Xenopus tropicalis: one gene and its partner. The protein of the gene in region 1 purifies or fractionates together with the protein of each later gene. This does not show direct contact. Links are inferred from orthologs where the notes say so. Each region holds a gene or a part of one and is shown in the gene's direction. Other genes may lie near its edges.

The links. Proteins that work in one complex are often made in the same cells at the same time.
Region 2: the proteins of upf1 (region 1) and upf3b purify together in Homo sapiens (co-immunoprecipitation; 16 studies listed by BioGRID and IntAct, with this or other methods). This does not show direct contact. The link is inferred for Xenopus tropicalis from reciprocal best matches to the Homo sapiens genes UPF1 and UPF3B.

The regions. Positions count from the first base shown.
Region 1 is NC_030677.2:98,881,794-98,885,549, reverse strand, and holds the start of upf1 (regulator of nonsense transcripts 1), read left to right. Parts: upstream 1-1,471; 5' UTR 1,472-1,727; coding exon 1,728-1,898; intron 1,899-3,756. UniProt on the Homo sapiens protein: RNA-dependent helicase required for nonsense-mediated decay (NMD) of aberrant mRNAs containing premature stop codons and modulates the expression level of normal mRNAs.
Region 2 is NC_030684.2:59,729,614-59,733,106, forward strand, and holds part of upf3b (regulator of nonsense transcripts 3B), read left to right. Parts: intron 1-321; coding exon 322-432; intron 433-669; coding exon 670-713; intron 714-1,431; coding exon 1,432-1,620; intron 1,621-2,397; coding exon 2,398-2,543; intron 2,544-3,204; coding exon 3,205-3,493. UniProt on the Homo sapiens protein: Involved in nonsense-mediated decay (NMD) of mRNAs containing premature stop codons by associating with the nuclear exon junction complex (EJC) and serving as link between the EJC core and NMD machinery.

The DNA.
Region 1 (3,756 bases):
TTTAGAAATAAAAAGTACACCAGAAAAATCATAACAGAATCCCTTTAATCTGCACTTCATTCTTCATGGGATCCTTTCAAATACCAACCTCCCGTGTTTCAGGACCTTGAGAACATGGACCTCCAAACTACTTTTGGGAAGTTACTTCACACAACTAATGGTGTTTCTATGTACTGATTTTAAGCAGTCCTAGAAATTGCACATGGAAGGCAGGTGGAAGAAAACAATTATTTTTAATTTACGAATAAATGGTTCCAGAACAGAAAAGTGTTTAATCTAAAACCCTTGGAGTTTTTTTTTTATTGAGCAGTAATTATTTTTACTACTGGGTAAAATGATCAAGGAATGATAAAAATCGACCGCTCAGTCTCAGAAATAAACAACAATTTATAGTTATTCCTGCATGAACTGATATAAAGCACAAAAAGTCCACTGTATGTGTAAAATAAAAAATATATTTTACTAGGGGCTTGCTGATCGCATTACCCAAAGGCAGTCTCCTACAGTCAAATGCTTAGCAGCTGCTACTGGGCAACCCCTCTACAGTCCTTTCTCGTCACTGTGTAAAGATACCAACTTTCCATCCTCCATTATGGTCATCTGGACAGATGGCACAATCCATTATTCCTAGTGGCCAGGCCTCTGTAGTTGATTATGCCCACTGCTTAGCACCCCTGCAATGATATATTATCACTTATTAGCCACTGTATTGTGAAGACTACAGTCCAATATTTCACAAGGCTGCCTTCTCGCAGGAAACTATTGCGCCACTACAAACCTATCTGCAACATGTGCATTCGCCTCTTGGCACAGGGAATCCCCCAGTGCAATAAGAATAACTAGTACCAACATATTTCTACATAAGGAAGCTCACTCAATACTGCAGCAGTTTTTGCTCAGATCAGTGAAAGGACTGCACATTTTAGATTTTTTTTAAGTTGTACCAATTCCTGCAAATGTCAGACAACTCTCATACGAAGATATGGTGTTTTCTGATTTTCCAAGTAAACACCTAATTTATTTCGTTCAAAACCAGGTAACCCTGTCGGAGGTGTTCAAGTTTCTTTCTCCCGAACTGAAGACGCCATAATTATCATGCCTATGCTGCATGACAGGAACCAACAGGGCCCGGCCCCGATAAATAAATGCAGAAAATTAGTATCGCTACACAAAACTAATAAGTACTATCGCACGCATATAGGACAATCTCTTCCGCTGGCGCTAACATTTGCATCTCTTTGCTCGTTTAATTGCTAAACTCATTTTGATATCAGCCTAGCTTAGTAGGTGCCGACGTGTCTGTTACGTCACTCGTCTCCGCCCAGATTAAAAACAAGTTCTGCCTCTGCCGTCTATACTACCGTTCCCTCTTCCGATATAACCCAATTACATATTGATAGCGCGTCTTACTGCCCGAGAATCTTACTATTGAACAACAAATAACTGACACCAGCCCTGTTGTCAATAGCAACTAATAGCTACTGCTGTCGTCCCAACGTGATTACGTCACGTTGGCGCGCAAGCGCGTTCCTTCCTGTGCGGCTACGACTGACGTCATCCAGGACGGAGGGAGCTCGGTCGGAGGCAGTTCATATTTTTTTCTTTTTACCCGTGTTTCGTGTCTATTAGATAAGCGCTTCGTGGTGGCATCGAAGCCTTTGGGGACTCCATTAAAGCTGTGTAGGGATTAAAAAATTAATCGCTTTCCTGTTTCCTCGGCCGTCACAATGAGCGTGGAGGCGTACGGGCCCAGCTCGCAGACCCTCACTTTCTTGGATACGGAGGAGGCCGAGCTGCTCGGGGCCGACACTCAGGGCTCAGAGTTTGAGTTCACAGACTTCACGCTGCCTAGCCAGACACAGACACAAGGGCAAAGCCAGAACCAGCTGGACGGGCAGGTGAGAGACATGGCAGCTTCCGGGGGCGGGAATGTGCTTGTCAGGCCTCGCGTGTGTCGCTGCCGCTTCCATTGCCAGGCGGCATTAAGGTAGCGGGATGGAGTGCCCTCAAAATGTGCTTTCTTTATAAACTTCAGATGATTTCCGATTTTGTCTATGTTACGTTATATTTACCGTGTACGTAGTTGTATTACAGGGCTGGAAAGCTAAAAAATAGTTATTTATACTCGTGGTTAAATTGCTAACTCTCAACTTTGTTTGAATCGCAACTTTCTACATTAGGTCGCGACTCTTACATTGTAGTTCAACCCCTACCTAATGGGCAAAAGTTGTACATTATGTACTGTTCATATGCGATAGAAGCAAAATGGATAATCGAACTCATTGTATCCCTCGCTGACTTGACACATTATTCAGTCCCTTATTCCATGTTGGAATAGTGGCTTTCAGGTTCTCTATCCTAGGAGGTCTTTCACATAGAAACAGATTGTGAGCTCCACTGGGTCAGGGACTAATGGAAATGAAATGCATTGACGCAAAATAAAAGCCGATACATCAAAGTGCTGCTTGTGGGCTGGAAAATGGACTGTCACAAATTGTGTGAGTATCTTTGAACATCAGCAACTCACACAACTTTTCATTTGTACACTGTACACTTACCTTATTGCTGGTGAAATAATGTTTCTGGAACTTGCCCCTTCTGATGGCATCTCAAATGGATAGCAAATAACAAATGGTTAGTACTTCAAATCAGTGCACGTTCTCCAATGGCCACTGGTACACAAGTGACTTGAGTTGAAGCAGCAAATTAATTATTCTTCAGATTAAATGTTTTTATTGCACTTGGGAAGTGACAGCATTGTTTCAGGCAATGTTTAGCCCTTTATCAAGCTCATAAGAGGACCAAGCATGGCCCAAAACTTTCCTGTAATGCCCTAAGTATGCTGTTAAAGGAACAGTAACACCAAAAAATGAAAGTGTATAAAAGTAACTCAAATATAATGTGCTGCTGCCCTGCACTGGTAAAAGTTGTGTGTTTACTTCAGAAAGTCTACTATAGTTTATATAAATAAGCTGCTATGTAGCCATGGAGGCAGCCATTCAAAGGAGAAAAGGCACATAGCAGATAACAGATAAAGCACTATTGTATTCTACAGAACTTATCTGTTATCTGCTATGTAACCTGTGCCTTTTCTCCTTTTTTCCAGCTTGAATGGCTGCCCCCGGGGCTACACAGCAGCTTATTTATATAAATTATAGTAGTGTTACTGTAGCAAACACACCAGTTTTACCAGGGCAGGGCAACAGTGCATTACATTTTTATTACTTTAAAGCTCTTTCATTTTTTGGTGTTACTGTTCCTTTAAGGTATTTTGTGAAAAATAATCGTGGTCCTCTTCCAACTCTAGTCAGTCATCTCTGATGTCTGTTATGGTGGTAGGTTCTGTCCCTTCTCAATCTCTCACCAGGTAAAGCCTGGGTTGAAAAGGGGTGTGTAAGGTGGGTGCGGGCTCATAATTGGTAGGAAGAGAAATTAGCGGCAGATTCTAAAAGGATGTTAAATGGGCGCGTAGTACCAAGGACAAATATTTCTACCTCCTAAAAAATAAAGGGAAGCATCTTTACATGTTACAATTTGTGCTTCTTTAATGAGTTTGCCAAGAAATATTACTATTGCTAGTAGCTTCTACTATGCTTTTTGGAAATGATGCTTAAAACACTATGCCATGTTCACAACATACAACAAATTTACTATACAAATGAGGGTGTTTTTTTTTTTTTAAATCTTTATTAAAAGTGGTCACAATAATAGCACAGTATCTCTGATCATCCATCTGTAACAAATACCGTAAAGTGG
Region 2 (3,493 bases), on another chromosome or scaffold:
CTAAATACAAACATAAGTAATACATAGCAGCATAAATAATAAAGTTGTAAGCTCACAGAGCAAGAGTTTTTAGCTTCTGGCAAATTATTAAATTATTTGATTACACCAATATACATGCGCACTGTGTTGGGTCCAATTTGGGTATAACTCCTAAGGGAAAACAAAAAATTGTTAATTTGTGGGAATAACAATATTATGTTGTCAGTTCATCCAAAAATTGCCAATGAACTTAAATATTCTGCTGTGCTGTGGTTGTTTTAAAATATGTTTTAATATCTGCTGATCTAATAAGGTTTTATTTTCCCTTTTGTGTATGTTAAGATCCAGAATACAAAAAGTTTCTTGACTCTTACACTTTGGATGAAGAGAAACTAACATCAACTCCAGAGACATTGCTAGAAGAAATAGAGGCAAAGAATAAAGAAATGATAGGTAAAATGACAATATATTGTGCAAGCCTAGAAGTCCTGGTTTCTGACCAAATTGGGCCTATTTTCAATATGTATCCTTCTGAATATTACTTGAAACATTGAGCTTGACCTTACAAAAACTAAACAAGAATGGACATGTATGTAGTTTGGTGTCCAATTTTGTGTATTTTGCATTTTGAATTGCGTCCTTAAATATCGATTCTTGATAGAAAATGTATATTTCTTTTTTTTTTTCTAGCAAAGAAGACTACACCTCTGTTAAGTTTCTTAAAAAACAGACAGGTATACCTTTTCTATGGGATTTTATTTGCTGTAGCTATAAATAACTATAAATGTGCTCAGAGCAGAGCTATAGTGTAAGGATGCACAAGGCACCTGACCATCATCATTCACCCACAATTTTTGTTCTCCCAGACCATTACCATAGTCTCCCTCACTAGTTTCCCTCTTTGATCCTTGTTCCGGCCCTGTATTTATCCCATGTTTGTGTAGACATCCTGACTTAGTAATTTATATCTAGGTATTAAATGCAACTTTAACTTGTTTCATGTGCTTCAGCTCACCAGGCTCTCACTTAGAACTATGTAAACATTCTTGTATCTCAAAGTACTTTGCTTATCCTTTGATTTATCTTGTTTTCCATTAAATCACTTTTTGTTACTTTACTGTATCTGCAGTACTTGTGGACTATACCTGACCAGACCATACTTTGGTCTAGGAGCATACATACATTTTTGAATAGAAAGAGAATTAACATCACCAAATTAAAGGCATAGTTTACAAGCAATAATGCATAAAATAATGCTTGCTTGGGTTCACCGCCACTGAAGGAGCATGGAAGTTTGAGCTTACAGTATTAAAACAAAATTTAGGCTTAGAGGCATGTAGTGCAGTGAGATTTTGTTAAGGATGCCATGTTGTAAGTGACTTGTTAGAAATTGGTATTATGGTGGCTGATGGTTTTAATGCCTTTTTTCCCCATACTGCTGTCTTCTTCCAGAGACTTAGAGATGAAAAACGTGAAGAAAGGAGAAGGCGAGAACTGGAACGAAAAAGACTGCGAGAAGAAGAAAGGAGAAAGTGGAAAGAGGATGAAAGAAGAAAAAAGAAAGAAGCAGAAAAGCAAAAGAAATATGAAAAACCTTCAGAGAAAGAGCTGGAACAGTCAAAGGATGAGCCAAAAATTAAGGTATTACTGCCCTCAAAATAGTAAAAAAATAAAACTTTTAGGCTTATAGGTATCTGCTGACAAAACTTTGAAATTTGGCATATAAACGCTGTAACCAAAATAATTGAAATTAATTGTAGCAATGAAGTCACTGTGTAGAACATGACATTTCAAATTACTTCTTTGGGAAACAAAGAATCCACTCAAGCCTTGATGACATTTGTAAGCAAGACTTAAAAGTGAATTTCTCTCTCATTTTGAGAACACTGGCTTAAGGGGGGTCCTATATAAAAAAGTGTTACTAAGAGCTGTCCTTGGATCTTGTCATATGAAGGTGGCTTGATATGCCCAATATGATATAACATTTTCCCATACTTTGCCAAGTAACAAAGTACAGGTATAGGACCCGTTATCCAGAATGCTCAGGACCTAGGGTGTTCCGGATAAGGAATAGTTTGGATCTTCATACCTTAAGTCTACTAAAAAATCAATAAAACATTAATTAAACCCAATAGGATATTTTTGCTTGTACTGCTTTATTACTACAGAGAAAAAGGAAATCAGTTGTGAAATTCTGAATTATTTGATTAAAATAGGGATGGGCTTTCCGTAATTTAGAGCTTTCTGGATAATGGGCTTCCAGATAAGGGATCCCATACCTGTACATGAATAGCACTTGAGTGGCTACTGTTCCTTGTGCAGAAAACAGTTACATAATCAGAAATGGTTTCTTAATTAAACTTATGCAGTAATTTTGCACATTCTCAAGTACATGAAACCCATTTTTATTTGGTACAGCTTCTTAAAAAACCTGAGAAAGAAGAAGAGAGAGATACAGACAAAAAGTTTAAGACAAGAAAATTTGAAAAAGAGAATATTAAGGAAGACCGATGCGCTACAGGAAAGAAATCGGATGGTGAAGTCGGGGAGGAGAAAACAAAAAAGTATTTAGGATTCTTTTGCTTAAGTAAAATTTGGGTAATTTTTTTTCTTTACAGGAGGAGTAGTTCTACAGTGCCTCCCTTTTAATCTTTACTTCTTTATAAATCTGCTATTTATTGTGCTATACATCCCTATAATACAGAAATCTATTGTGAATGTAGTTCCAAGACTGGCCTGTAACTTAGCATTCTGTTTGTACTTTTTTATTAAGATCCAATTGTTTTGTGCTTGTATCCTTTCACTGGGAGGTTGAATGCTACTGCAAAAGATGCACTAAGAAATGGCAGTCATAAAAAATAACATCCTCTGGCCAGGAACTTGTTGCCAAGACCAGCTAGTAAAGTGGAAGCTACTTTAGTATATAATCTAGAGCAGGGATCCCCAATGTTTTTTAACTTGCGAGGCAAACTTAGATGTAAAAAAGTGTTGGCGAGCCACACAAGCATGAAAAAAGTTCCTTGAGGATGCAAAATAAGGGCTGTAAATTGCTATTTGGTAGTCCCAACAGGCAACAAATCTATCTGTGTGCCATAGGCTTAAGTATGTATGTATATATGTCAGGGCTTTGCTGGGATCTCCAATAACATTTTTGGGGATTTAGATTAAATAAGAATATATCATTGCAGTAAATCTTTTAAAATGTTACCTGCCTTTTCATTTTAGGGTTGAAGTGGAATATGTAAAGGATTACAGGGATAAAGATTACAGAGATAAAGACTACCGGGAAAAAGATTATAGAGAGAAAGATTATAGGGATAAGGACTACAGAGACAAAGACTATCGCGATAAGGAATACAGAGACAAAGATTACAGAGATAAGGAATACAGAGACAAAGACTATCGTGAAAAGGACTACAGGGATAAGGAATACGACAGAGAGAGGCGACAAAGAGATAAGGAGAAATCAAGATATCATGAGGATGATCGCCGTAAGCCTAGAGATCGATACGAG